Linked DNA regions of Styela clava. The protein of the gene in region 3 binds, or shares a complex with, the protein of the main gene of each other region. Links are inferred from orthologs where the notes say so. Each region holds a gene or a part of one and is shown on either strand. Other genes may lie near its edges. The genes, in order: dynein regulatory complex subunit 4-like, dynein regulatory complex subunit 5-like and dynein regulatory complex protein 1-like.

What was found.
Region 1: dynein regulatory complex protein 1-like (region 3) and dynein regulatory complex subunit 4-like share a complex: the UniProt entries of both Homo sapiens proteins name them as parts of the nexin-dynein regulatory complex. The link is inferred for Styela clava from reciprocal best matches to the Homo sapiens genes DRC1 and DRC4.
Region 2: dynein regulatory complex protein 1-like (region 3) and dynein regulatory complex subunit 5-like share a complex: the UniProt entries of both Homo sapiens proteins name them as parts of the nexin-dynein regulatory complex. The link is inferred for Styela clava from reciprocal best matches to the Homo sapiens genes DRC1 and DRC5.

Annotation. Positions count from the first base shown.
Region 1 is NC_135262.1:4,091,324-4,102,082, forward strand, and holds the start of dynein regulatory complex subunit 4-like, read right to left. Parts: upstream 5,200-10,759; 5' UTR 5,046-5,199; coding exon 5,043-5,045; intron 4,213-5,042; coding exon 4,105-4,212; intron 3,275-4,104; coding exon 3,191-3,274; intron 2,822-3,190; coding exon 2,708-2,821; intron 2,098-2,707; coding exon 1,891-2,097; intron 1,281-1,890; coding exon 1,226-1,280; intron 682-1,225; coding exon 476-681; intron 1-475. UniProt on the Homo sapiens protein: Component of the nexin-dynein regulatory complex (N-DRC), a key regulator of ciliary/flagellar motility which maintains the alignment and integrity of the distal axoneme and regulates microtubule sliding in motile axonemes.
Region 2 is NC_135255.1:14,432,157-14,442,915, forward strand, and holds dynein regulatory complex subunit 5-like, read left to right. Parts: upstream 1-3,679; 5' UTR 3,680-3,783; coding exon 3,784-4,168; intron 4,169-4,422; coding exon 4,423-4,558; intron 4,559-4,977; coding exon 4,978-5,571; intron 5,572-5,650; coding exon 5,651-5,773; intron 5,774-6,197; coding exon 6,198-6,375; intron 6,376-6,873; coding exon 6,874-7,059; 3' UTR 7,060-7,138; downstream 7,139-10,759. Other genes in the region: EH domain-containing protein 3-like, read left to right, coding at 1,421-1,440; methionyl-tRNA formyltransferase, mitochondrial-like, read right to left, coding at 7,308-8,345. UniProt on the Homo sapiens protein: Component of the nexin-dynein regulatory complex (N-DRC) a key regulator of ciliary/flagellar motility which maintains the alignment and integrity of the distal axoneme and regulates microtubule sliding in motile axonemes.
Region 3 is NC_135262.1:17,139,719-17,150,418, forward strand, and holds dynein regulatory complex protein 1-like, read left to right. Parts: upstream 1-4,441; 5' UTR 4,442-4,510; coding exon 4,511-6,601; 3' UTR 6,602-6,736; downstream 6,737-10,700. Other genes in the region: dynein regulatory complex subunit 3-like, read right to left, coding at 327-493, 809-925, 2,172-2,331. UniProt on the Homo sapiens protein: Component of the nexin-dynein regulatory complex (N-DRC) a key regulator of ciliary/flagellar motility which maintains the alignment and integrity of the distal axoneme and regulates microtubule sliding in motile axonemes.

The DNA.
Region 1 (10,759 bases), about 13 Mb from region 3:
AAACGATTTCAAGTCTCCAAACATAATTTGTGAAGTTTTCAATGATATTAACGTTAATACCAAAATTCTCAAGTTTTCAACCAAAGGGTTTCAAACATTAATTCGGGTTCTCAATAATGGCAACCGGTGGTAGGTCGGATGACCAACATCAGGCAATGATTAGCAATAGGTGTATTCACTTGGCTAACACAGATAGTCCCGAACTCGTAATAAAACTAAAATATGATAAATCGAAATAAAATTATGGCCTAATCCTAAGCTGGTACACACACAATACTGGAGTATCCAAATTTTGAATGTATTCGACTATAATTATGATTCGTTATCCCTCAATATACACAGAAGTATTTTAATAAAAATTTCAGGAGTTTCAAAATCCGTTCTCCTCATTTTCTAAAAGCAGTTTCAAGTCTTGCATTTTGGGGTTAAATCGCTTGAATTGACATTTCTAGGAATCATAACCAAAGCTTCTTACCTTTAATGAATTGATGAGAGCCAGATTGTTGAGTGTGATGTCGTTGTAATAATTTTTGATATCGGAGAATGCTTTCTCGTGGTTTCGCATGAGTGCATTTATCTGGCCATTCTTTCGCTCTTCAATTTCATGAATTTCTGTCTTTCGTCGAAGTTCAAGTTCGTCCCGAAGTACACGCATCTTGCGCTCATATTTTGATTCAATTTCTGAATTTGTAAAGAAAGAAGACCATTGTTTCAATTGAATAGCTATTTTTCCAGCACTATTTACTTATAATTACGGAAAAAAAAGCTTTTTCACCTGTGTATTGTCACAATGTAAAATTATGGTTTGTGTGTTTCTAATTTAATGGTACAATGCGGCAACTACCATGTTTCCTAAAAATAAGTCATATTTCGATTTTCTTTCGAAAATTGACACTAGGGCTTATTTTTGGGTGATGTTTTTTTCAGTGGTAGAGAACAATAGGAAATAAGAAGCGCTTTTGTCACAACGCTGTTGAATTTTAAGCGCCGGTAGATAACACTAACACCTTGGGCGTCCAAGTAGGCCTACAGAACAGATAGCATTGATTACGTAACACCATGGTTCTCAAACTGGGCCCGGGCTACAAAACGAGAAATTCGGTATACAAAATTGGAAAACTGGTGTCAATTTACTTATAAATAACATGTTTCCATTTAAAAAAGACCGGGTTAGGTCTTATTTTCGGGGAAACACAGTATCAAGCCAAAAGTTGACACCGCATACCTCTTGCTTGTCTTTCGAAATCTTCTCTCAACTGAGTGATGTGTTCGTCTTGTTTCTAGGTTGAGGACGGGAAAAGAAATTGAGATATTTGGATACTATGAAAATATATAACATTCATAACAATACTAGAGGAGATCGGCTTAGAAAATTAAATTAAAACAGACTACCCAGGTACCTAGTACCCACAATCCTACAGTTGCAACACATTGCAAACTCCTATTAATTGACATATCGTTACACATCAAAGGTCAAAAACATAACTGATATCATGAAAATAGTATAAAAATAATGATGCATAGGGAAGTGAAAAATGTTGGGTAAAAAATGTTGCACAGCAATGTTTTTAAAAAGCAACTCAAAATTTACAGCTATTTGACAAAAGACCTATTTTTGATGGCAAAATCAATATAGCTTAGATCTGTACCTACACAGGGAATAATATTGCCAACCCCCCACCAAATTACTGTCCTTTGCTAGTGCGGTATTATTACTTGTGTTAGGTATTTCTAGGTAATTTACCTTTCATATATTCAAATTTGTCAATAAGTAATTAAAATTGAGCTTGTAATGAATCTGAGAAAAGTCCACAATCAAAATATATTTAAAATTACCATGTAAAATGAATAGTTTTCATTGAACAAAATAATGAAAAGTTAGTCTCATACCTTCACAAGATTCTTCACAGATTCCTCATGAGATAATTCCTGTTCTTTCAAATTGACCTTCAATGACCTTTTATCTTTTCTGAGGTCTGTCTCCTGTAACCTGTGATCTTCCTGCGATAACTTCAAAGCCACCGAACTCTCTGCTTTCAATTCTGAAATGTTGTTCTGATGCTCGTACAGAAGATGTTTGACTTTTTGCTTGTATACCTGGGATACACAAGATCAAATAAGACAACATAGATGGATTAGTCTGGTATTAAAATTTGGAGCAAAGCCCACACGACAATGACAAATGCATGAATAAAAACTAATTTAGAATTTTATAGACTTTTATGACAATAATATTTGCCATATCAGGAATCCCTAAAACTTATTTTATTAATGTTCAACCGTTTTATGATTTCAATAAAATATGCAGAGCCCATCATCTCTAAATTCCTTATATCTCTGTGGTCATATGTGTGTAGGACTTAATATTATAACTTTATGACAACATCTTTTTATTTGAATTTCGTTTTAAACCTGTTTTCACCTTGCCTAAGGTTTTGTTTGCTCTTCTGATTTTGTAACCAGTTTGTATATTTTTTTGTAACTATTTTTTGTCTGTTATGCTGATTATGTAGGTTAAAAACAAACTTTACATTTACTCTCAATTCGACTATTTTCACAAGTGGCTCAATTTTGCATGGCATATTACGGCAAAAAATACAACAGGCAGACATACAAATAGATGAAGGACTGGTTCACCATATAGATAGGTCGTCCTTTATAATGATGAATATAGAATTATATCCCAGTATATACAAATGAGACAAACTTTAATTTCAATTTGATGTCTTTCTTCTGAATCTTCCATTTCTCGATCTTTATTTCTCAATTCAGCTTTCTTCTCTTCCAATTGTCGCTTTGTGATTTCCCAGAATGTGTTGACCTGAAAGAAAATTTTTGAAAAATTTGATTAATTATTATAACCCTTACTTTATTATATACTTTGTTTTTAAGAAGAAAAATTTGCAACATTAATTACCAGTGTTGTGGAGTCACGAGTCACCATTTATCAAAAAATTCAATCGTCTAAAAAATGAAGTCAAGAAAATTTTATGATATCTATCACAATATCTTTTGTATTTCAGAGGTCGCCCATGAATTTGGTCCAAATTGAGTCTCATTTACATCTAAGTGATTTCACTTTTAATTTTAATTTTTCACATTTTCTTTTAAAATAAAGATTTAACACAAGGAAATCCATTGTTATTGACTCATAATTAGTAATTATTGCGCAATAACAATCAAAACAAACCTTATCTCTCTCAAGTTGAAAATAATTCCTTTCCTCTCTCTCTCTTTCCAATTCTTCACGAAGTCGACCAATGTGCTCCTCCAACTATTGAGAAGTGGATCGTGTGGATAAAAAGTGATGTTTTTATTAATAAATAAAAAATAAAAAAACTATTGAGAAGTATAAAATTTAAACAATGGGAAAGAACATTCAGCAAATATATACGGGTAGTTCAGTATCATGGATTAGTATATAGCATCTGCTTGTGTATAACTTTCAATTACTGCCTAACCGATTAGTTTTAAGTGATTCATGTCTCATACAGTCACTCAAAACAAAGCTTTGCAAATGCACCCACCCAAGTTTAAGAAGCCAATGGGCTTGGAAATTAAGGAACCATTTATTTTGATATCGCCATCGTAATTTCGCACATTCTGATGACTGGTCAGCCACGTCTTGTTGTTGAAGTGTTACGTGACATTTGAGGCAAATACGTAACAGAAAGTAAGCGACATAGAAGGGTAAAATGAATTCATTGATTGATACACACAGCATTTAAAATAAGAAACAATAGGACATTTATAGAACATTTAAAAAATGCAAACATATTTTAGTAATGTTTAACACAATTCCGTTAATTTTCGCGGCGAATTTAGCCACTCGCTGCACCTTTTGGGAACGGCTGATCTATGCCTATGAGGTTATAATACCCTAACAGCTAGCTCATGAGAAGCAAACAACACATGTCATAAGATCAATTACCAAAACTACTAGAAAGCCTATGTTAAATAAAGGTGCGACCCCCGGTTATACTGGGGTATTAATAATATCTGGCACTCCTCTTTAAAGTTTGCACACCCCTAGTTCATAGCGATACAACTATGTTTCAAAATTTAGATTTGAAACTGGTTTAAACATTACTTTATAGAACATACCTGCTCCTTTGACATTTCTTCAGTTGACATTCCATCTACGACGGTCGGGGTTTTGGGCTTTTTCGCAGATTTTTTGCCCTTTTTTCCCTTCTTCCCTTTTTTGGGAGGCTGCAAAAGCATGAAACAATTAGAAAATAGCCAACTACAGTACATAAATTTAATACTAGGCTTTATTCAATGATTTTATGGGTAGAGATTGCTTGATTTTTAATTCTAGTAATTTAATTTACTTTTCATTTCAAACTCCTTACTCCAGAAATTTTGGGTTGGACCATCACACTATGAAAAATCAAGAATGTGGCTTCATCTTTGACTTCAATGAGACAGAATAAGATAGGATAGGATTTACATATTTATCCCGGGGGAGAGGAAAGCCGATAATACAGCTTAACCATATGGCAAACCACGGCCTCTCGTCCGATTACCATTCCATGTCGGGTATGGGATTAGTTAGTTATTTGTTTTCGGAAGCATGGACTTGATGGTGGAGGAAGTCGTAACAGACCAGCGGTTACGTGAACCACCCTACAGCGGCGAGAGTCCAGCAATCCTCTCGCACATAGCCCTCCCCCCGCCTGGGATTCGCAGAGTAATTAGAGGTGCGGTGGCGAGCGTATTCCTAACGATTAGCACGATGAGCCACACCGCCACGCCGAAGATCCCGAAAAAAGAGGCATCAAGTAGTATTTTTATCTGGGGAGTATTTACAGATTTATTATTTTAAACAAATTCCAACCCTAGTCATTTAGACAAAAAAAGTAGAATTTCTAAGAAATGATAAGATTAAAACAGGGATAATTAAAAAACTCCCCCATTGTCCCGGTGCTAGAGCCGCCAAATCAATGGCTTCCTAAGCTCCAGAGTTGAAAATAGTCGGTTATTCATAACCAAGATTTTGAAATAAAGTTATATAACACTAAAACTTATATGACACTTACCATTATGAAGATTTGCCGTTCGAAATGCAACCAGACGGGAAAACTTGGAAGGCAACACCAAAAAAGTAAAGCAAGGCGAACAAGCACGGAAATCAAATTTTCTCTCGGTGTTACTATGGTAATTTTCGTATTTACGTGAGTGATATTTCACGCATGATATCTCTCAACAATGAACGAAAATGAGTTTTAAAAAATAAAATTACAAGGATTGGAATTAAATAGACATGTAATACATGTTATAAAAAATGTTTTACGTAATATAAGAGTGCAATCTAATACAAAAAAACTAATGTGAACAAACAAGTTCAAAAAAAAGGTCAGCGAGCCGTAAAATGTATATACAATTTCTGTGACTCGGAGCCGTGCGGGCGCGTGGCGCAATGGATAACGCGTCTGACTACGGATCAGAAGATTCCAGGTTCGAATCCTGGCGTGCTCGCTTTTTCATAAAATCAATTTGGGATCATTTCTTCCCTCATAATATAAAATAATTGTTAAATATTGTCTGAAAACAAAAATATCACTAAAAGACGAACCCTCGTTACGATATTCAATAAATTTATAAGTTAACTAACATAAATAAAAACAAATTAAAATATCTCACGACGGTCAATTTCTCATAAAATGCAATATATTGACTAAAAAAGCAAATATGATATGAAATGCAAGTTGAAAAATAACTACATGCGAAAGATTCAGATAAATTATTTTTATCATGCAAGAATCAATGCAAACACAACACAAAAGTGTATAACGTAACGCCGTACCCCCTTCTTATATTATTATATCTTTGGAAATGTTACGTGTAACCCATCAAATAAATAATCATTGTGATTAATCGAGGTAATAATCTATACACAGCCTTTGTTTTCTCATGACTCCCGAATGTCTTGTCATAATAGGAATTTCTCTTTTTTTAGGGGTCGGTGGCCATAGTTGACCTTGCAGTCTCGCCCGTCCCCTCCCGATTATATTCTATAATTGTTCTTTTCCATTTATTGTAATTTTACATTTTTTGATATATTCGGAAAATAAATCATTATCTATCATCTAACGGAATTGAAAACAAAATTGAAATATACACGTAAAAATAACGTCAGAAAAACAAGACTTTACAAAAGTTTGTGTGCGTCAAATACCTCCAACTGCCACCCATAGGTCAATTAGTTCGAGTTCAATATCTTGTTCAATAATAAAAGCATTTTTGCTTCGGTAACCGAATGCTTAAAACTTATTCAAAAATGGGACAGATAGAGAAAAGTGCGTCGACCGGGAGTCGAACCCGGAACTATTGCTTGGAAGGCAACAATGCTAACCGTTACACCATCGACGCGACGAGGTAGGTGAATCGAAATATTTTATATAAATAAGGAGAGAATTAAAAAAACGCCCGACATTCTCTCGATCGTAATATCGTTATTTGATTTAAGATGTATAAGTATATAAGTATAAGTATAAGTTTATTTCGACTCCATAATCAGCATAACAATACATTTGACAGATAAAACAAATAAATAAAATCTGATTATGAAATCAGGGGAGCAAACAAAACCTTAGATAAGGTTTATAACGTACAAAATATAAGATGAAAGGTTTTGCCAAGAGGAAGTGGTACGTGTTTACTCACCTAAAATTATCAAGTTATTTCACACACGCTCACATGCACCCACCAGCCACACACACACACAACCACTGAGAAGTTATTTAAGTAAGAATGAAACGCGATAAATTTAGGGTATACTATACAGTAAGCAAAAAAATAAATAAATAAATACTAGAAAAGAAAATTATCTGCCACACCATATTGATATTTTTGTAATGGTTGCCATTGCCAAATTGATCGATCTTCTAATCGTTAATTAGGTATATAAAAGGAAGATTCTATTGAAAACATATTGCCAAGCTGATTATAGTTGGAGTCAAATGCCAAGTTGCCCAACCAAAGTTGCCAGAATTGGGTGCATGAAGAGGTGGGCGAGACCATTTCATTCCCCAAATTAGAGCCTATTATTGCCAAATTATAGTCCAGATTGTAATAAGTAATTAAGTTACCGGTAACAGTAAAATTACTATAATTAAGTAAAGTAGGATGTGGAAATAAATTGGTTACAAAGGGTGTAAGTGAGGTTTTTCATTCTTGGGTATTGATTTCAGACAAGGATATGGGAATGAGGTTGTTATTTCACAGGATATCGGGAGTCTTTTTTGTTTTTTTCCTTATGTGTTTTACTTCATTTAATCACTTTGAAGTAACCTGAAAAACAAAAAATAAAACTGCGAGTAGATGTTTCAATGATTGGGTGAAGGGGAACGCTCTGAACTATTTATTACAGGCAAAAAATAATTGTTTAATTAAATGGGATGTATTGTCATTATATAGCGATGGATAGATGATCTATGATGACATTCTGCTTGGGACAGAGAAAAATTTATCACACCATGCAAAAAACACACAAAATTTTACTATCTATACCTTGGCCAACAAGTCAACTCAAACACCATGCCTTAACATAAAACGCATGCATACATAAATGATATAAAAACCACATCCAATTACAATGACCCACAGCAAATTAAAATCTGAAGGGGAGAATCCAACATAGCTCTACTGCTCGCCTAGTTGCAATAATTAGTAACCTTGCAGGAACAATATTGTACTATCTACAACCCTTATACCACCACTCAAACATAAGACCAAGCGTGTATGATAGGGACATCACAGCTAGAAAAAGATAAAAACACGAGCGTGAAGTGATAGAATGCGTGCAGTTATTTAAAGAAAATATCATCTGAGTACGTTAGCTACCTGTATATTTAAAAAAATATATATATACTCATGCATGTCACAATACCATTTCTTTGGTGCTGGACTAGTTCTGGCCAAGTCGTGGCAAGATATTATTATAGTCGTGGCACAGTATTATTATAGCTGTTCAACATTTTCATTAAAACAATAATGTGCAAGTGTGGAGTGTCCCAAGTTTTTGTCATCGAATACCACCAGTAGTAATTTTTAATATTTAATATTTGGAAACTAAATGAGACTTGACTTGTTTTTGAAAAGATTTTTTGGACTTTAACGTCTTCAAATTTAAGGGAAGAGAATTCCAAAGTTTGGGTCCAGTAAAAGACAAGGAATGCTGACTCACGGATTTACTCATGAAAGGTACGAATAAATCAGAACTACTTCTTCGGTTGGAGGTATTTTTGACAAGTATGTCATTAAAGCAATTGGGCAGCGCATTATTATGAAGTCGTGAGCTAGAGATAATATTTCAAATTTCATCATATCTTCAACCTTAAGTATATTTAGTGATTTGAAGTAAGAGTCTACACTTTCACGTTTTCTTTTACCAAAAACTATTCTTAAAAAATTATTACAAATACTCTGCAGTTTTGAGACAAGTGTTTTATTACCATGAAGCCAGACTGAACAACAATATCGAATATGGCTAAGTAGTAATGATTGAAACATTGCTAGTAGAGCTGATTGGTCAACACACTGGGATACTTTGGCAGAAACTGCTAGGTTTCTTTTTGTTTTAGCAATAACATGCATTATTTGTGATTTCCATGACAGATTTTCATCAAAGATAACTCCTAGAAATTTTATTTCTTTCACTCTTTCAATTTCATTGCCATTGAGCAGTAGTTTTTTTGAACAACTCACACTTTTATGCTTGCTTGGATGGAATAATACAAATTTAGTTTTGTTAGCATTCAGAGATAATTTATTAACTAACATCCAGCTATGAATGTTGGTTAGTTCTTGGTTTGCAACTGTGAATAGATCTTCAAGGTTTTCCCCATGAAGAATCAAGTTAGTGTCATCAGCAAACATGATCGACTCAGAGGATTTCAGACACCATGGCCATGTTTGACTACAAAGGTTAGAATTCCTCTCGCATCAATCCGCGGAATGATAAGACGGCTATAAGATAACGGAATAGTTTTTAGTTTTAAGGACTTGGAGTAAACCTCCATGCGATCACGGACAATTTTTGGGCGAAAATGAATAAAACGTCTTACCGACTTCTATTATTATATTTCTTTCATATTGTATTTAGTCTAGTCTACGATGACTAGGAGCCCAGCATAACCCTCTCTTCCAAGAAATCCGGGAAAGAGTATTTACGATAAGACAGTAACAACCCAGATAGCATGTGAATAACCGCAAAGCGATTAGGCTTACAACTTTGCGTCTCAAAAAAGGTCTTTCGTCAAAAATGTATTTTTTGGCAAACCTAGCTCTGAACTTTAGAGTGTGACATCTAGATTTTCTCAAAATAACTAAATTTTCTTGTCATTAGTATTATTTACTGGAAACTACTTTTATACGTCGTTTTATTACCTTCTTTCTGAACGAGGCCGTAACATAGTATGCAATATTTAGAAAGTTGCTATATTTTGGAACCTAACAGAATTGCCCACATAATTCATTGCACTCAAAACGAGGTCGTGGGAACTGGAGTCACATAAAACGCTTTGAGCCATTGATTGAAGAAACCGGGACAGGACTGCACTGATTGATGACCATTTGACAGATAATTACAAAAATACCAGCTTTTCTCTACAAAGTCAGTTTTCTGGATCAAACAATAATAAAAATTCAGATGTAGAGGCTGCAGCAACAGATTGTAATTTACATTCACAATATTTTGTAAGAACCATGTTTCACAGAAACAAGATTTGTAGCTTATGGAAATCATTACTTTAGCAAATATCAGGCACCCCATGTTCAGTCAGTGAACAAGAAGCATTGTACAACTTAAAAAACAGGTGATAGACATAATAAAATAGAGCAAATTCCAAACTTCAACTATAACACAACCAGCTTCACAGTTCAGCCAATCATGAATATTTTCTCCGGGACCTAAAAATTAATCAATTGTTTAAAATAGATAATTCTTTCTGTTATCATTCATTTAATATTCTAATAGTTATTTAAAACAGAATCGTTGTTTTATTCATTTTATCGTTCAAATCGTTCGTTTCTATGTAACAGAATCAAATATTATTAATAAAATGATAGGACACCCATTTAAAGTTCATTAGTCTCACCCTAAAATGAGATAACACCCTGCTTAATATACAAGGGAGGTTTTGTTCACTGTTGGGAATTCTCAATCTTATTATATCTCATAAACTATATGTCTAGGTTCTATGCAAGTTTACCGAAGGCCATAAACAACAATGGACTCTGGCGAACATGTTACAGAAAATAGGCTGCATTTAGTTTCAAGTGGAAAGCGAAGAGAAAGGAAAACATATCAGCAGACAGAGCAATATTTCATTGACAAAATTTCCTAAGAAATAAATATCAAAAAACAAATAAGTTACTCATACAAAACTGAACTCAAATGTACAAAAGGGAAAAAAATGTACAACATCTCAAAGTCAAGGATTCACACAAAGAACAAATTAACCTAAAGACCCAACACTCATTCATTACATAGTCATAGCTAAATATTATTAGAGTTTTAATATTAGCTAGCAAAAAAGTTTTGAGACTAAATAAGTATTTAATGATGTGTATATACAATGGTCTCATGATCAATTTAACCCTCGTGTGAATTCCTAAATCGGAACAAGTCTTGGAAACCTGATTTTGAACTACACGAAAAATATAGATTGAATTTACTTATTCTTCACAAAAATAGCAAATTTGGGGAAGTTAAAGCCACTGAATCCACGTGCGGGTCGTGAAAAGTTCAAAA
Region 2 (10,759 bases), on a different chromosome or scaffold from region 3:
TCAAATTTGGCTCGATTTTGATCGTCTATTCTGTTTTGTTTGATTAATAATTTGATCTATTGAAAAACGATGGCCATGATTTACCTTCGAGCTTTTTGATCGGAATCCTTCAAACACCTTGGTGAATGCTAAGCCATCAGACTTGCACTAAGAATGCTTCACACTAATGTGTTTTGAATCACTTCTTTCTAATTGTTTGCTGTTAACATTTTTGCATGGTTTGATTCAGCAACAAATCCATTTTGATCAACTTGTATGAAGAATATGTGATGCTTGCGAACTCTTGAGACAACAGGTACAACGAACATGAAGTCTTGAATATGTTATTGTAGCATAGTTTCTTGCTCAGTAATAGTTTCAAGAAAAAAACAAACAGCTGTGCTGTCTGTTTTTATGGAAGAATAAAGAAATGTATCTATGTTCAGTACTCAGAAAAAAATGTATGGTGATTGGTGAAAATGTATTACAATCTGAATCACTCATAAAATTGCCTTTCATTGCATGCTTCTTTGATGACAATATCGTTCTATATTGAATATTTTGCTATGCCAATCCCTTGGGAGTGTATTGGGCTGATGGTGTTTTGAAACCACATTGTTCCGCTTTTTCTGGGTTTGTCATGATCTTGCTCAGTAATAGTTTCAAGAAAAAAAAAAACAGCTGTGCTGTCTGTTTATATGGAAGAATAAAGAAATGTGACTATGTTCAGTACTGAGAAAAAAAAAGTATGGTGATTGGTGAAAATATATTACAATCTAAATCACTCGTAAAATCGCTTGCCTTTCATTGCACGCTTCTTTGATGACAATATCATTCTATATTGAATATTTTGCTATGCCAATCCTTTGGGAGTGTATTGGGCTGATGACGACTTGAAACCACATTGTTCCGCTTTTTCTTATCGATCCAATAGCAGTCTAACTAGTGGTGATATCTCAGAACTAACAAAATTGATAATTATTCACCCATTCTCTCTATTGATGTTATTATGTTGATTTATAACAATTGTTATTCTGACATCAACGAAAGCAGTGTTCTCCCAAACTTTTTCGTCATGACCCATTTTTTTTTTTGCTCTTCATGAACTAAAATAAAAATGAAGTAGATTTTAATGCAGAAAAATTAAAAATATAAAATAAACTGAGAATACTATTATTGTGCTTGCATATTTTCGAACAGAAGACCGAAATTAGTAGTGTCAAAAAAGATTAATTCGACTCCCAGCGTGCTTTTTCACAACCCATGGGAGATCGAGACCCCCAGTTTGGAGAGTACTAGGCATGTGTGTTGGTATGTTTCCTGATTGCTTTTATACATGCTTTTAGCACTGGCTCATTTTGAATGCACATATTGATATTCACACCTATTGCCAATGCTATCTACTTTCAATCTTATATTAATGATAATATTGGCATTGCAGAACCGAATGGAGAAATATAATTTCAATCAGATCATTAAATTTCATTATCTCTCGTTACGACATCATTGTTCAAATTTTGGATCACCTTGTTATCAGAAGAAACTACACAAAATACAACCATATGGACCTTCAATAATGGCTTGTTACTGGGATGAAAATATGTTCATAGCTGAGAGCTGACGCTTTTATAAAGCCTGAATATTTGGCAAACTTAAATTTTCTTTGGATTTTTTGATGAATGTACTTTTTTGTGCTTCATGCAGATTTATTTGGTTTAAATAGTGTATAAAATAGCAGTGTAATTTGTCTTCACTTAAGACAAAAGCCATCTTCCATATTTCAATCCAATGATGGCAACTGTCCAAGCAAATGCACGTGAACATGTTCTTATTTTTTTATTGAGAATGTTGATCCGGTAGACAAAAATGTAATTATTTTATTTCTTTCTCCATTTTTTTCATTAACTTCAAGTCTAATATCTCTAAATGTATATTATACCTTTATTTTAGCATTTACTTATTATATACTATATTACTGTCGTACTGTTCATAACCAAGTTTGGTGTCTTAACATTAAAATTAAATCGATTCTATCCTATGATCTGTTTATAATATTCAATGACTTTCAGCTTTTATCAAGAACTAAAAAAAATTCAAACTTTGGTGCTGCTTTGTATCTAATTTTCCGATCTCCCATTGGCATATTTTGTATGAAAGCAGTTTTTAAAAAACTTTACAACTCAAAATCTCTTGTCTTGCTTTATTAAAATGATTTTCAGACATTTAAATACTTTCTTCAAAAGTCCGAATCTTTTTCATTCATACTTTTCATGCAGTATATTTTTCTTTTGAGGGGATGATACTGAAACAGTTGTATGAAACAAATTAGTAGCAAAACTGTCACTCTAAACGGTGTCATAAAAATAGAATTAACTAGATTTAAATTGCTAAAAATAACTTTGTAGATAGAGCATGATTTTATCAAATATTTTTATTTTCCCGTTTTTATTGTATACTGCTCAAAAAATGAAACAATTAGTTGTTTATTTTTTGGTAATTTTCTTCCATGACGGCATTAATCTGGGAGATTGAAGATTTGGAAAATCAAAGAAAAACATTCTCGAACAAATTAATATTATTGTATTTGTTCAAGTTTCACCTAATATAAATTCTGAATCATTAACTGGAGTTCATCATATTCAACGATTATATCATCAGTCAAAAAGAATGTTTTTATTCTGAAGATTTTGCTTGTGATATTTTTGGGCAGCTTTCAGCCCATTTTTGGATGATACTACCTTGGTAGGAAGTCAATCATTTGTCATGCATTTTTTAAATTATTTATCGCTCTAATTGCAATTTATTCCACCAGGAACGATTCAAGTTTAATAAAAATATTCTGGATTTACTTTCTCTTGACAGTCCGCGGAAGTCAAAAGACTGCAAATTTTTTCACAACCACATATTTTTATGTGCTGTTCACTTTTGTTTGCCACCTGTCATATTTAAGTTATATGCATGGTGTATAATTAACTCGTGTCTTTTAAAATGTCTCCAGCTCAAGTTGAATTGTCAAATGAATGGTGAACCAGGAATGCCTTTTGTACTTGTTGCTGCTTAAAATGTTTCGTGACTGCTGATGCATGTTATGCTTAGTAAAATAAAGCCGTCCCACGTTTCTGACTCGAATTTTGTGTTTGGGGTATTGTAGTTTGGAAAGGATGCTACTCTGTAAAGTTTTCATCTTTAATTAAATTTGATATTTTAAAAGTCTGCTAGCTTACCCAAGCTAGTGGCCTCAAATCCGTTATAAAACTAGGTATGCAAGCCATTAATTCAATTCGTTTATTACTCCAGACCGCTGTGGTCCATATAAAAACAACACAACAAATAAACATAAGCAAACAAAAATAACGCAATAAATACATAAAATACCTGATATGACAATCAGATTCACAGTAAGTCTCAAAAAAGAGTTATAATATAGCAATTCAAGAGACCAAAAGTGAGGTATAGAATCTAAGGTAGCCCGTGACAATCTGTAAAATGTTTTGTCTAATGAGAATATTTTATCAATGTACAGTGCAAAAATCAATATCAAAAAATGAGAAAATTTGAAATAATATTTATGTACAATTCTAAAAACAGTCGGCTGTAATAGAACTGCCGCTGAAAGTTTGTGGTCGTTAACCCACGGAAAGCCAGAAAAAGATGTGGCATCAAATTCTGCCTGATAATAGATCCGCCTTTCGTCATATTTATATAGTTTTATCATTTGAAATGTCATTAAATTTTGTTTACTTGCATATTATTGATAAAAAATGAATTTTCAAATCGGTGTTTCGGTATGGAAAATAGATTTCGATGGAATTCGCTGTAACAAGCAGATACGTTGCCATGGTTACTAGCTCGCGTTGTTTAGCAGTTGTGGTTTTTGTCTCCGCCAGTGCTTTTTGGAAAGGTGATGGCTTTGTTTCTAAAAGCGTAAAACCTGTTCCTGTAGTTATTATATACGTTTCGTTTTTATACTCGTTTGAGAAACGGTTACCGGAACTGATAATCAACATGGTCGTTAAAGACAGAAGATCCAATGTTAAAAAAGATTCTTTGCAACCTTCAGCAGCACCCACGATTCCCAATGATACAAAGGTTTTAAGAAGAATAATTGCAGAAGATCCTGATTGGTCATTAGCAACAGTACCTCTTTTGAAAGATTTAGTGATAAACCATATTGTTGACAATTTTGAAAGTAAGGACTTGTCTAACTGTTTAAATACACTGTTCTGCTGATTGGTAAAAAGCATGTCATATCGTGAGACCACTGTCACACTGCTGGCTCAGATAAGTTTGGGCTATATATCAGATTATTATTTACATGGAAAATAATGTACTCTAATAAAAATAACCTCCATTTAATGTAATTCCTATTAAACATATTCAAAACTGAATTAAAATGATAATAACAACAGCTTTAGCGTATTTATGTATGTTACATTTTTCCAGAAAATCCAATACTGAAAGAACTTCATCCAAAAGATAAAAACAAAGTTCTTGATAAAATTGCACCAAAAATAGATATCATTGTAACAGCTCACTTGGTTGAAGATGAATCCTATTGGAAAAGATGTTGTAAAGCTAAGTAAGTTGCGCCAAAAAAGTTTAAATAATAGATAAATAGAACTCATACCCGTATCAGGTTAGACAAATATTTGAAAATTCCAAGTATTTCGTTTCTCTGGATCTTTTACATGTGAAGTTAGTGTCTTGTTATAACCTGCTCAGCGATTGACAGACCACACTAAATCCTGTGCGGATAGTGATAATGAAGTGAGAGAGTATTGCACACATCCCACCATCATAAGGTGGTTTTACATCCGGTGGCCAGTTACACCTTCCTTCCCCAGTGAAACAACTATCAGGTTAACTATTCCCATACTTGGCATGAAATGGTAATTGGTTGAGAGTCCAATGCCATGCAATTAGGTGCCATTAACTTTCCCCAAGATAGATATGAGAATCCTCTCCTGATTTGATCAAAGTTCAAACATAATTTTGTAGATACCACATATGTGACGTCACCAATTATGGTGGAAGCTGGAAAAGGATGTTTTTTGAAAGATATATGCAAGATGTTGTGGAAAATTTTGTACCAGAGAAAACTAGCGATGATGTAGTTACAAACGCCATTCCCCTATGCTCGAAATATGTCAAAAGATTAGACATCAAACAACTTCTTCCTCCTGTAAAAGAACCAACGAAACCCGGAGTTCAAGAGGAAGAAGCATCAGATATGGGAAGTGATGCAGGAACGGAAAGTCCTGAAATGGACCACTTTGAATTTGGAGAACTTCTGGAGAAACTTCCGAATTTGGAAGAATTCAAAGTAACTTATGGCGTGCGAGATTGTGGAATGAACTTTGAATGGAATCTTTTTCAATTCACACAACGAGATTGTCTTCTAGTTGCAAAAGCACTGCGATCCTGCACATGGTTGAAAAAAATATGTGTTCATAAAAGCAAGGTAGATGACGCAAAAGTGCGAGTTTTAGTTAGCAATCTTCTCGATCATCCTTGCCTCACTAATCTGGATCTTTCACATAATTGCATCGGTGATAAGGGTGCAAGAGGAATCGCAAAACTTATTAACAACAGGTGAATTGCTAATTTGTATATTATCGAGCTTACTTTAATTAGAGTAATATCATTGAAAATTGTTTTAAATATGTTGCAGATGCCCAAACCTCACTTCAATTACCCTTTGTGATAACATCATAAGACAAGAAGGAGCAAAAGCAATTGCATATTCCATCACAAAAAATTCAAAATTGAAGGCTCTCAACCTGAGATTGAACAGGTTAGTGTCAATCACACACTTGCACATAATTTTTTTTTTTTTAATTTCTTATATGGACATATTGCGTGGTACCATCATACACATATTGTTTCCATTGCCACGGTTACGATTATACCTAACCAGATTTAGGTTAAAAAATCAATTCTAAAAGTATTCATTTCATGCATTATAATTGCCATCAAATAGGTTTTGTTTGTCCGCCACTCATTGGATATAGTAAATTCTTCAATAGTTTCTAATCTCCAATTTGAGACACATAATAACAATTTGAGAATGCAAATGTTTTGTTCATCTGTTTGATGAAGAGTAACTAATTTTTTTACAAATTTAGGCTCATTCAGTGTCAATTTAATAATATATATCGGTTATTCCGTTTTGGAAATCCCAGGTTCAATTCATAATGAAAAACCATTCACATTAACAGAATGGGTGATGTTGGTGGTCAGGCCATTGCAAAAGCACTTTTGAACAACAACACATTAGAAGATATCAACTTATCATGTAACGACTTGACTGAACCATCAGCTGCTGTTTTCTCTCAAGTTCTCATATCTAACACTGCATTAACAACAATAAGTCTTTCAGGAAACAGAATTGGGCCAGTAAGTTGAAGTTGTAATGAAACTTATTCCAGCAGATGGGGATTTACTCTAATTGATGTGAGTCTCAACCATTCCACATTCTCTCTGCCAGGCAAAGCTAACATTTTTGACTTTGCCACCAATTACACACATCAGCTTTGCTAAATTTAAAATGGCAGAGATTTTATCGATGCCATATATTGTTTTGGCCCTCACAAATGTAACTTGGACAATTACTGATTAAAAAACAACAACCCTGGTCAAAATATATTTAGAACTGACTTCGTAACAAAATTGAAATTTTAAGGGGACTTTATGGACACCATGTATATTCTAAAATTGAGTCATGTTTAACAGAATCTATCGGTCAGGAATGCAGTTAAGATATTAGGTTTATATTGGCTCAAAATGATGATTTTGCCAAATAAAACAATTTAAATGAATATTCAATTCATTTTGGACATCATTGTCCCTATGTTTCTGAAATATCTTGATGCACGTTTGCTTGTCAAATTATAGGATGGTGGCAAGCAACTTCAAGAAGGCATGGAAGAGAACAGCACAATCACAGAGTTGGATTTGCGATTGACAGAATCTGGTCAGGAAAGTGAGTATTGTATCCAACAAGTTCTCAAAGAGAACCAAGAAAAAGCAAGATTAAAGGAATTAGAGAGAATTCCTTCAGCATCTACAGTCGCCACATAAAGAAACTAGTTTTGTGTTTATTTTATTGTGTTTACATCTGTCTAATATTATTGTACAATTGAATAAATTTTTAACCTGTTATGGTTTGTTAACAATTCACTGTAAGATTAAGGTAGATTTTTTTGCAAGTTCAAATTTTATTTTGCATGTTCAACTGCTAAAATTAGAAGAATTAAAACATAAATGAAATCATGGAACATAGTATCATGCTCAATAACAAACACAGCTACTGGCTTTAGTTTGACAATTCATTCAAACCTGATTTTCTCGCCCTGTTTTATCCTTGCTTGCATTGATCCATTATAAAAATCTTGAGCTGCTAATGGCTTACCATAAACTAATTTTGTTATTCCCACAAATGTATCCTTACATCTTACATAAATTGTTTTGGATTTCTTGTCAAAATGAACATCTCCCGGTATAGTTTTTTCAACCAAGCCTTGAGGAATTTCTTCCATGTCTAGTCTTGTCATTTTTTGTAATTTAACCCCTTTTTCTTGGTAATTCGTCCGTAATACAAAGTCTTTGTTAAATCCAAATGCCTTATACTTCCTATAAATTTCTTCTGCAGTTTGTGCCTCCCACGAAATATTGGAATGTCCAGTAGTTATTTTAGGTGCATATGAGATCTCGCCAGTTTGCTCTTTGGCATTTTCCAAATACAATTCAATATTTCCAAGACATTTGAGTAAGCATTTTGATGCAATATCTTCCAGAGCAATTCCAAGATCTTCTGAAGTCCACTCTTGTTTCACTTTTATTACTTCACTCTGTGCTAATATGCGCCCATGGTCAAATTTGCCAGACTTAATCTCCATGACAGTGATTCCAGCATTTCTATCACCATTCATTATAGTGTGTGCTAATGGTGAAGCACCTCTCCATTTTGGTAATATACTTCCATGTACATTTATCATTCCAAATTTGTAAGACTTGATGACTTTCTTAGGTAATAATTTCCCGAATGATACAACTACACCAATATCGTACTTGCAGTCTCTCGGAAACTCTGGATATGTAAATATAGGGATTTTTTCTTTGTCCGCAAATATTTTAACAGGTAATTTGCTCTGCTTCTCAGGTAAGCAGACAACCCCTAGTTTATCCACAGCTTTACCAGATTCAGCTGACAGTTTTGAGTTATTGTGAAGTGATTTTAGACATGCCTTAGAAAACACATCACTGCCAAAAAACAGCACTGATAATCTTCTGTATCTAATGGGAAATAAATTATGCCATTGTACATTGCTATGATTAAGAATTACTCTTGTTGTCTTTCTCAGCATCTTCTATTTCCCGCTTTTCCATTAGATAAGATGTCAGTTTCTGTTGTTCTTCTAATTCAAGTCTATTTTGTTCTCGTCTTTTTATTCCCTCTTCTTGTCGCAGTTTGTCTTCCAACAAACCTTCTTGCAGTCTCTGAAGTACAATGAAGGATTTATGGAAGGGCTGAATGTGAACTAATTTTTCCAAACGCCAAACCCGCATAATGTTGCTTGGAATTGACAGTGAACCATTTGACCAGGCTTTTTAAAACTCTGTCATTAGGAGTAATGGATAGGCCATCTGGGCAACACAAGGCAAAACAAGTGAACTCTCTCTCTCGATTAGAATATACTCCGCGAACAAAAGATTGGTGCTACTAGTACTAGCACCACAGGGAATGAAGCCTTTTTAAAAAGATTCATTGGATTAACATGTTTGGGATAACTCTTACCAGATAATTTGATAACTTTATCATGCTATTTCATAATCTACCAAAATTAAAAAATTCTGTAAAATAAATAAGTAGTGATACACAGCAGCACAGCTATTTTAACATTGGGACAGGATCAGTTACGTATTAATATATCCGACGAGTGACAGAGTCAAAATTGTACCAAAGTTAACCAGCCCTTATTACATTGATTTCTCTTTCTTATTTCATCACCTCATCGGGGTTCCCAACACTTTTTACACCGCAGAATGAATCTTAGTTTTAACGGACCCCCCTCCTATGTCGTATCAATTTATGTGCCAAACCATCGAGGAAGGATAAGGTTTCACAAACTAACGTTCAATACTGGCAGCAATTCGATAAGATCATGATCTATTTGTATATGCTCCAGAGTTCAGAGAAATAACTCTTTCAAATCATTTTATATTGATGTAGAATATTCAATATTTGGGGATGAATTATTATTAAATATCTTTATCATAAACTGGAAATATTATCCTAAATAGGGAGTATCATACTATCGATTTTATTTTAATAAATCTGAATGTAATAAAATAATTCTAAAATAAATGCCAACAGGCAGGGTGGAAAATTTGGAAAATGTCAGTTAAAACAAGGAGACATAAAAGTCCTACATAGGTAATCCAATCTTGTGACAGGGAATATAAGTGGAAAAATGGACGAAATTCTCTTGATCAAGTTTTAGGCTGGGGAGAATCGTAATAATAGATAAATATAAGTGAAAAAGCATGATGGCTTTATTTTTGTTCAAGTACACAATGTTTCAAACAAAATAGACTGAGGTTATTTTCTCATTTGTGTGAGTATGGGTGAATGTGTACAAGCCTTGTATAAAGCACTTGTTAAAAACCTTTTTCTAGGTTTTGACTATTTTCCGATCTTTCCGTCGCCCTTGTCTGTTCTTGTTTTTCGTGTTCTGTATTTTAGACCAGAGTTCGAAATAAAATTGTATCGCATTGTACGACAAAACAGTGAAATAAATGGCTGCAGAATACACGGGCGTGATAGCAAAATAAGAAACACACAAACAGGTAAAGGGATAAACAAAATACAAACCTCTTTGTTTCTTTTTTGGTCGTAGTGAACGTATCCAATAACTGATGAAGTGAAGGTGATAGAAGCGGCAAGAGTTGATTTGGCAGCGAACGACATGACGATTTACGGCATGATCCGTAGCAGTCAGTGATAATCAGTAAATGAAACGATGCGTAAAGGTATAGGAAAAAAAGAAAAAGGCTCACACGTTTAAGTTTGTCTTTTCAGTATGTATTTTGTCCCGATCAAGCGCGAATTCTTTTGTTGTTGTTCAAACGGAAAATATATTTCCTTTACAGCGATCATCGACGTCTTGCCGTTGCAGGACCAATCTTAGCAGCTATATATACCGTATATACGGTACTTAAGCTTACAATAAAATAACCCCGGTTTAGCCGGGACAGTACCGATTTTGACCATCTGTCCCGTCCGGTAAATTTTAATGTCCGGTCATTCAGAATTGCAGTGATAAATATATATTTTTAATAAGAATACAATTTTTTTTAACGGAGGCTGGCCACTGACTGATTCTAATTGTATATGCCATTATCGTGACTGTTGCTGCCAATCCCTTGACCCCCCCCTTCCTTATCATCATCCTGCTTCAATCCAACTATCAGTGCAGCAGTGGTTAGGATCCGCTAGCATTACAGTTACAGCCTTTCTTATCCTTGTTCGGAGTGAAAACGAAAATATTTTGCGGGCCATTTTCCGGACAGGACTTCTTGGAGATACTCCCAGACCTCTCCATGAAATTGGAAACCAAGCAGAGCAATTTCTTTACTGGCAACCAAAATCGTATCAAAGTAATATAAACGCATTCATTGACATGTTGCCGAAGTTCTATCTAAATGAGTATTGATCGGCCCTGAAAGACACAGACGCAAGTACTAGTTCAAAGTAGAATGTTTCCTGGAAAATGTATCC
Region 3 (10,700 bases):
GACTTCGGATGACTCGGACCCTCAATTCAATCATTTTTGATTAAATATTGGGAAGTATTTGTTATAACTGATGTAGAAAATGCACAATCAGGGTTCCTCAAACTGGGCCCCCGCTTCATGTTAAAGTCAGAACTAGAAGAGCACGAGGTCACCGAAGGTCTTTGGAAGGATGCCACAAATCATAAACATTTGAAAAACACTGATTTAAATATTAGTTCCTTTCTAAAAGAAATACCAAATGAGCAAAAAAAATGAAAATTGCTCATTGAATCAACTTGAGTCTGATTACTGTATAATTCAAGGCGATTCACATGAATACTTCTTACATTGTCAAGCTGATTAAGCTTGTTATTTCCCACAGAAAGTACATGTAGATTTTTGAGGGAATCCATGTTTTCTAGTCGAGATATTCTGTTGCTGTACAAAGTCAGATCTTCTAACTTGGTCAATTTTGATAAACCTTCTAGCACTTCTATGTTGTTGAAAGACAAATCTGTAATTCATTGTATTTGAAATCAATATACAGTAATTAAAATTATATTTGAATACAAAAATAGGTTTACCAATTTATGATTGAAGCTTCTACTTCATGGTGAATTTAACTTTTTCAACTGTTATGTCAAAAAATTCCTTTCATTGTAAAATTTTTCTGACCTAAAGTCCTCCCCCCCTTCAAGATAATAAATGAATAAATAATAAAAAAGCAACGTAACTTGAGTTACATATGTCATTAAAACAATGATGGCAGGGAACACTAGAAAGAAGGATAGAAATAACATCTTATGATAAAATAAAGAGAGTATCATACCTAGCCATACTAAATTGACCAATTGATCTAATCCTTCAATTTTCTCAATAATATTGTCATCCAATTGTAATTTTGTCAGCTTTGTGAATTGCCAAAGATTATCAATCTTCAATATATCTGTAAATAAGTAAAAATAAAATGATGATACAAATTAAACAGAGCAGATAACTTATCCATTGCATTTATCACAAATGGGCATCAGTAATAAAGTTTTCTAATATTTGACCAAACTATCAAGAGCCATATTATTTAAGCTTTTATGGATTTAGCAAATGAGAAAAATAACTGCAAGATCTATGGAAAGATTGTAAATGAAAACTTGAGAGATAATTTAGACTGAAATTGACAGGTCAGAATATGAGTAGAAGGCTTCTACTTCATAAAATTATATTTACTAACACGTGTCAATCCTAACCCCTACCTGACAACACCATCCAAAAATGACGTCACTACGGCGTCACAGTGACGTAATAGAGCCCTTCAAACTATACGAACTGTCACCCAAGACGCGCAGAAGAGAACCCGAAATCGGACAGCTATTTCCCTCGTTTTTTCGCCGCAGCGATCCTGATAGGAGAGAGATCGCTGACGTTAGTCAGTTCTTCATCGTCGGCACCGATGCCATTTCGGGCGATCGGATGTGTGTTTGGCAAGCTCTATGACGTGATTGTGACGTCGTAGTGACGTAATTTTTGGATAGCGAAGTCAGGTGGGGGTTAGGACTGACTTGTAAAAAAATTGTTATGCTACGCCTAGTAGAAGTACAATGGGTACGAAACTACAGGAGACCCCTTTTTTCGAGTTCGGTAACACAACAGAGTGGAGCATGAAAATAGTTGACTCGTACAAACTTGTTAATTGTTTAATATGCACGACTTCCTAACTTCAAGTTTGAAATTTCATTATAATCACCACAAAATATGAATATTGTCCATTTAGCATAATATGTAAGATGTAATTTTTCCTGTTCCCTTCACTTAATAACTTCTATATGGTTGTGTGTGTGGGTGCGTGTGAGCGTGTGTGAAATATTTCAATTATTTTAGGTGAGTGAACACGTACCACATCTTCTTGGCAAAACCTTCCATCTTATATACATTCTGTACGTTTTAAACCTTATCTAGGGTTTTGTTCGCTCTCCTGATTTCATAATCAGTTTTTATTTATTTATTTTTAGCATTCATTTTATTGTTTTGCTGATTATGGAGTCGAAATAAACTTATACTTATTATACTTATAATATACCTAAAGTAAAAATAAAAACTAGCTAGCTAAGTTTTCAAAAAAAATTGTCTGTCATTGTATTTACAGGTTTATTTACCCTTTTTGTGATATATTTCGCCATAACGTTTTTACCACTTACTTCTAAAATCTAGTCTTAATGACAACACGTCTTTGTAATCAATTCCTTCTTGTTTTGCAATTCGACCAGCTTCTTCCTTCGGGCCTTGCTCTTCTACAGCTTTTCTGAGCATTTCATCGTCGATTACCGCAGGTTCAACGGTGTCATAAAGGCGACTCATTTTTGAATCAAATATATTCAAGGAAGGGAGATATGCAGAGGAAACAGAAAATGGAAAATCACGGCGCTAGCCGCTCACTACGAGCACCAAAAAAATAAGTGTTATTTGTTTAGTCTTTGGCAAGCACTTCGCGCTTCTGCGTTGCTATGGATTCGGGCTGTACTTTGCAAACGAAAGGATCCAAATTGTTGGTATAAATGTATTCACATAGATATAAAATACTTTGGATTGAATTTTTTTATGATATTTAAGCAAAAAAGGGATTCAGTATAAAATATCGTGAACAGATTGCCAATTTTTTCGCACCATTGGTTTTTATAATAACCATAGCAACCAGTCAAACGAAGCACTATCATCCAGGCATGACTAGTTGAAAAGGTTGATCGCGATTAGGAATGTAAGCATAGAATAGGTGTTCTATTTTCGAAACAAATTCTGTTTAGTGGTCTGTAGCATCGTGTTTTTGTTGAATTTAATTGCATTCGAACTATAGATAGGTTATTTTATGACTAGATAGCAGGAAATATGACTAGCAGGAAGACTTACCGGTACCGTAACACGGGTCGTCAGGTAAAAGTGAATGCGTCGAAATCGAACGCCTATTTTATTGTAGTCGAGACAAATACTGAAATATGCAGCTATGTAAGCTTTTTTTAAACAATAGCGGGTATAGGATTTTCATTTGATACTGACCGTCAGAGAATTCTCACAAATGTCGCTACTGATATATACAAAATGTGTTATTGTAGTGATTTTCTATAATTCTAAAAGTAGTGAGGTCTGAATGTCTTCCAGTGAGTCATGCCTAAATAGATATAATAGCAGTATCTTGGTCATTTAAAGACATCTTACTTAATTTAATGAGTTTTTGAGTAGTAGAGTAGATGTAGGGTGGTGTAGCCAGTCTGCGGACGATTTCATTCAAACCCCTATAAAACAAAAACCAATATTTCTAACCTGTTAATTTTTTCACCGTAGGTGCATTGGCATTCATTCTACACGCTGAACTTCGAATTAACTTTCTACGACCAGGGGTTAAAGCTATACAAACCACCAAAGTACGACACTCTGAAGACGTATTTGCGACCGAACGACCAGTGTGCGACCACGGATTTCAATCCTTGAACATCGTTTCTGCTGCGTCGAGACTAGATAATACGCAGCCATGCGTGAAAAAATGGGCTTCTAATTGCATTTCTGACCGTCATATATTTTAAGAATACGATTATTTCGAACAAAATTTTTCAAATTATAAACAAACACCGCATCACAGCAATCAAACAGACAAAAACACGGTGGTCGCAAATTAGTTGACAAAGATATTATTGACGTATTGGAAATGCGCACCCCCCTACTCCCCCTCCTTTGAAGGTAGAGACGCGAAACTTTAAAGATGGTTAAAAGAAACACAACTCTACCCACCTTCCAAGTTTCATCTTTTTATCTCTTATATTTGTATGGATTTTCAACCTTTTTTGAAGGAACAATGGGTAGTTGGCGACATGGTAAAATGGTCCGTTTTTTTTCTTCGGTCAGGTTTTCGGTCGTAACTTTTTCATTTATGGCCGCATTTTAGTGTAATTTCGTAGAGCTACGAGGGATAAGTGGACGATAACGCGTGAGAAATATCGGCGCGGTTCGTTAATTTTTTCGGCATTAATTTAATCGATGAAGTTGATGGTCGCAGATAGGTCATGGCCGCAAAGTGGGTAAGCCACCCTAAATGTAAGAATTTAAGAAAACTGAAGGAGACATGTTATTTGATGTTGTGACAACTAGACTTACTTCATCATGACATTGTCTCATTGCCCAATAATTTATTTAATAAAATTGAGCCATATTTTGGAGAATTGCTTCTTACCGATTTGAATTGGATTAAATTGAGTCACTTAGAAATTCAGAAACTCTTGATTGTGATGCACTGAGTGTTTGAAATGGCAGTGACTTTTTGTATAAACAAGGCAAACTAAAATATTCAGGTAACTGAATAAACTTCGGATTAATTTACTGGGTTTAACCCGGTATAAAAGTATCAAATCAATTCTTATAGCTATAGACATTCTCTGAATGACAGAGTAATTCTGATTCTGTGTTTTCTAATTATCACTAAGTAATATATCTTATTTTATGTCTATTTATAGTGTTAAATAGTTTTTGTGATTCATATCATACCACAAATATGTTACATGTTGACGATGGGGACGAAGAAAGTGGGCCTTCGGTTGAATCTGTAAATCCAGAAGAAAGAATCCTTGCTAGGAGGATCCGAATCCAACATAGAATCGAGCAGCTCAAAAGAGAAGCTCTGGGTGACGATGCTCTCATGAAAAAAGAAGTCAAAGAAGAACAAGGAAAGGGAAAAGAACAGATTGAAGAAAGTCGAAAACGCCTGAAAAAACTCCTTGGAGATGGTAATGAACTTGTAACAAATGTACGAGTTGCCGGTGATGCTCGTGAGTCTGGTCATCGAATTGTTGAAGAAGAAGCTAAACGAGCAAGGGTTGAAAAACTTGAAGCAGAAGCAAAGGCATCTGCTGAAAAATTCGATGAAATCAGTAAACGATGGTCAGCAGCTCGCATGAAGGAGATCCCTCAGGATTTACATGATATGTTGAAAGAGCAAACAACAGGTTGTGACGCTGTGATCGATGAAAAAAATAAATTGATAAATATTTTACAACAAGAGTTAAAACAAAAAGATGATGAATATGTCAAAGATTTGAAGAAGCAATCAGAAGATGTTGATCTCATTATTGAAAGAATGGAAGAACAAATTAAAAATCTAACAAAATCACACAGAGAAGAGCTGAGACAAATTGAAGATGCTTACACAGATGGTCGCAGTGATATGAACAAAGCTGATCGACGGAAATGGGATTCAATGATGCAGCAGAGACGAGATAAAGAAGAAGATCACATGAAACTGAGAGAAAAAAGAGTTGAGGAACATGAGCGCCAATTGGATCAACTTCGCACCCAGGATGCTGAAGAATATAACATGGTGAAGATTAAATTAGAAACTGATGTACAAATTCTGGAGCAACAATTGCAACAAATGAAAGCTACATATCAGTTAAATCAAGAAAAATTAGAATACAATTTTCAAGTCTTAAAAAAACGTGATGAGGAAAATACCATCACTAAGTCACAGCAGAAAAGAAAAATTACCAGACTTCAAGATGTCTTGAATAACCTTAGAATCAAGCTAGGAAAGCAGGAACGTTCATACAAAGATGAGAATCAATCACTCGTTGATGACTACAAAAGAATAGCAGAGCAATACAAGGAATTACATAAAAAGATGAAGCACTTCTCAGCAACTGATAACAAAAAATTTCATGATATCTGGTGTATGAATGAAGAAGAAGTACGAAAACTTGTTGATAAAGTTTTGAATACAGACTGCATCATACATCAGCAACAGCTTGGCTTGCCGTGGTCTGCTCCTGATACCGCATTCATGGATTCCCGTGGTCCATTGCTGGCAGCTACAGAAGGAAAGGAAAAATCTGCTTTGATGATGGCCAAAGAAGTTTTGGCATCAGTGGCAAAACCAAAACAGGATGATAGTTTGCCTTTGACATTTGATGATGAAAAGTCTCATTCAAGTACAAAAGTTTCTTTGAGTGCTGTTAAGAAAGTCTTGGAACTATTATGTGATGAGGCTGGATTTCTTGTCGAGGAAAAGTTGAACAAGCTGTTACGTCCCCTTCAAAATGAAGAAAGGTCATTGATCAAGCTGGATGCAATATTTAAAGCTTTAAATATCGAATCAGAGGATGACATCCATAAATTGGCAGCCTTTTTTGCTCAACACAAAGAAAAACTCAGTGACGAAGTGAGTGAATCATCTCTTGATCATGAAGTGTCATCTACTATGGACGGGAAAGAAAATATGCATCCAAATGAAGTTTTAAAGGTTTTGAAACAATTTGTTCAAGAACATATCAAACCTACAGAAAGAAGAAAATCGAAAGGTACAAACAAACTGACTGCACCAGGACGTGATGGCTCGCAAGACGAACAATTTTGGAAGTCAATGGCAAACATCATTCCAGAGCACAAACTGAAGATGTGGGATGCACTGACACAAGCGTTTGACAAGTATCACAAAGTACTCACAGAGAGAGATGTTAAAATAAAAGAAACAGACAGCCTTAGGCAACAGAATGCAGAACTGAGAATGCTACTCCACCAATACATCACTTCCGAAGTCAACAGAGAGCTCGAGATTCCACCAACTCGTGTCCTTCAACTTGAATACAGCTAAAAAACATGTGCTTCTCCTAATATTTTGCTCTTCTTTAACAATATTATTTTGGTTTTGTAGTCACTGTCGATTGTTTTTTCTATATATATATTGTTATCATCAAAACAATTATAAAAATTACCTTCAACAATGCGATGTTCAAATGCAATTCTTTATACCAATGATTTAGTAGTGAATCTTTACTTTAGTAGCTTTATTAACTATTTACCTAACAAAGGAACTACGCCTGAAACACAACCGGGCATAGATTCATTGTGAGGTGAAACTACACCGTAGACGTGTTTCAGCGCATTAGTCATTATATTTTAGTGGTATGTTAGTTGTTGGCTGATACCGATATTAAACGCAGTGGGTACAGCTTGTCCTCAATAAATTTTGAATGTAACACAAAGAATAACTCACGCAGGAGTGAGAGTTTTGAGGGCCGCCTGTTTTTATAATTATTGTTTGTATTCCTTCTGCTATGCTCATCTTATCTACCAAGATTTCATGTTATATTTTGATGTGTAAATTGAGAAAACCACATATGTAATTTATTTTAAAAGTTTGCGTTAGGGAGCGCGAAATACTTAATTAAGAAACATACGTATGGTAGGAAGTAATGTACTGATACAATAGAGATTTGTAAATAATTAGCTTTGAATGTCTTTCTAGACAACTTTTTGTATTTCAAGATTTGATTTTTCAGATAACCTCAGTTCATCGAAGCTGTCGTTCAAACTGTTTCTGATCTAGCAAGCTAATGTTTTGCCAGATAATCATAACTAAAACCAAGGTATTATTATCCGTGCACCTTAATAGTTTTTAATTTTCAACGTTTCGATCGGTATTCAATTGAGTGTTCTTTCGGTGCATTTTGCTTTGTTGGTGACAAAAAATCGTGTCGGTTAGAATGAGTGAATGCCAAAAAGAATGCTTCGGCATGCTGGGTAGGCATCGTCAAGTCATGACACCCACTCTTTGTGATTGCTTCAAATATTGCAGTGAGCGTTTTATCCGTGCATTTTTCTTTGCTGGTGACAAAAAATCGCTGCAAGCATCGGTTAGAATGAATGAATGTCAAAAAACATACTTCGGCATGATGATCGGACATCGGCAAGTCATGACACCCACTCTTTGTGATTGCTGCAAAAATTCCAGGAGAAAGAATTACCAATTGGCTCGACGGTGTGGCGCATCGTGCTAAGCGTTAGGAATACGCTCGCCACCGCATCTTTGGTTAACCTTCGTGGTATCGCAGGTTCGAATCCCATGCGGGGATGATCATGTGCGAGAGGATTGCTGGACTCCTCGCCGCCGTAGGGTGGTTCACGTAACCGCTGGTCGGTTACGGCTTCCCCCACCATCAAGTCCATGCTTCCGAAAAAACAAATACCTGGCTAACTAATCCCATACCCGACCTGGACTGGTAACCGGGCGAGAGGCCGTGGTTCGCCATATCATTAAGCCGTCTTATCGGATTTCCTCTCCTTCGGGATAAATATGTAAATCCTATCCTAATAATAATTATCTGATTTCATTTACCTGTCATATTGATAAACATATTTTAAAAAAATACAGATGTGGATTGTGGACCAAGGTCCACGAAGTTTGCCATGAACTTTAAGTTAATTTTTTTGTTCAACCAGCGAACGTCGAACTGAAAAAGCGCTCTTGAAACAATGTAACACACCACAACTTTCTGAAGACGATAAGTCAACCACCCCAGTCACATCAGATTATTGATGTTTACTTGACGTCAAATATACCTCACATTCCCATGCAGCAAAATTTCAATAGTTGGATAGATACCTGGGTTTACGAAATTCAATACAGAAATATGAAGTTTAGGCTCTAAACTCAATCAGATGACTTTTCCAGATTCATTTTTACTACTATTTGGTGTTAAATGTATTCCAAATAACTAGCGTCTTTTTATTGAGATCTCTAGCCGGAGTCTAAAAGGAGTATTTTTCCGCAATTAAAGTAAATATTTCTCTCTATCCCGGCAGCTCACCCGGTACATCTTCGAGTTAAATTGTGAAACTAACTAATATTATCCGATCGCTTCAAACGGCCAGTAATTGAAAATTTCAAGCAATAGAATTTCCAATCGGTCTGCAAGGGGGCTTTCCAAAATTTTGATGTTACCTTCGACGATGGAAAAGTAGCGACTTTCAGTTTTACACTACAACTGTCGCAAATGATAAAATGGGATAGAATCTTCTGCCGTTGAAATCAACGCCGAGTGGGACCCTGCCAAATATTTATGTCAACTTTGCAATTAAAAAGAGGCCGGCCTTACGACCAATTGAAAAAGGCTCAGGCAAGGATTTGAACGGTTTCAGATATTATGATATGATATTATCAGACCTATGAGAAAGGTCGATGGTCGTGGATAGCAAAATATTTATAAATTCCTCAAGACGAGAAAGAGTGACAATTAGAGATCTACCGATACCACCTTTGTCGCCGATACTGACAAAAACGCCGTTAGCGATGCCGATACAACGATATTACAAAAAGGCCAATATTCCGATGCCGATACTATGCATTTATTACCGCAAATGCGCAGGGCAAACGCGTTAAAACAAGTCTTTGAGCATTATTCATACTACGCATTATTCCAGATTGAAACAGAGATATATCACATCATAAGAAATTGATGTTTGGGATTCAGATGCGTTAATTGATTTAGATGCATTGTGCAGGTATTGTCAATTCTAATTAAATATTAATATCGCGACCTTCGAATATTGTTATTCGTGTTTATCGAATATCGCCCACACATCCTAGCGCCGCCGTCCAGATTTTAATTGAAAGCACTTTACAAATATTTTGTTTTGTGTTTTATCGTAATTGTGCAAATAATTACAACCGACATGAAAGAATTACAATCAGCGCCGACTGGAAGTACCTACAAGCTATAACACGTCGAGGATGTTGCCAACAAGTGCGGGCGCTGTTAATAAGGACCTCGATTCTACAGTATGATTTAAAAATAGACGCCTAGTTGAAATGTCAAAATAGAAAATTTGGCAGCGAAAATAGTCAAATTAGTTGAGTGTTAGGACTGATAGGAATTTAAAAACAGGTCAGAATTTTATTCCCGTCTCGACCCACGGAGGTGGGGACGTGCATGGCTCTTAGTTCACGATTCCTTCATGCAAAAAATAAATATTTAAACATCAGTATTCCAACCTAGTTTTGAAAAATTTTGGATCTTTTCAAAAAGATAAATATATATATCGGTCTTAATTTAGCCGATACCGATACCGAAAAATAGGGCCGATACCGATACATCGGTATATACATCTGTAGTGACAATACGACTTAATTATACGGCAAACCACGACCTCCCTTCCTGTTACCTGTCAATGTCGAGTTTGGAAATAGTTTGACAGTTGTAAGATTAAGGTGCATTGACATGATGGTGGAGGAAGCGCTAACCTGCCAGTGGTGACACAAGAGCTACCAACCGTCCCGGAGTGGCCGGGACAGTCCCGGAATTTACGTCTAGCGTCCGTTTTTCATTAATAAAAACGATTACATCTGTATGGTTCATTCAAATAGGAGTGAGTTGAAATTCGTGGATACGACATGTTTCGTCAGCCGTGACCTCCTGATGACATGACACTAAAACAGGGTGGTCCAAGGTGTTCGGCTCCGCGGGCTACAAAATTAATTTTGCATTGTTCGCGGGCCACAATAAAGCCAAGAATAGGTAAACAGTGCAATACAAAACAAACACTTTCACTGTGCAAACACATAGTTATCAGGCATAGCCATTCTAGGCTAATAGAAGCCGCATTCGATTTTTAGTTTTCTCTGATGCCTATATTGTTAGCATATATATATGTATTCCCGACCAAAAAGTTAGAAAACCAGATAACAATTTAGACTAACAAGCACATTATTTTAACTTCGCTAGTTGCCTCAGCTAGCCATAACACTATTTAATTCAGTGACATTAGTGACGACAATATGTCAAAAGATTTTTCTGATTAATTTTATGACGAAACCACACGAAATGCGATTTTTCGATTACTCTTCGAATGTGACGCGGGCCACAGATAATTAAGCGGCGGGCCACATGTGGCCCGCGGGCCTGGGTTTGGAC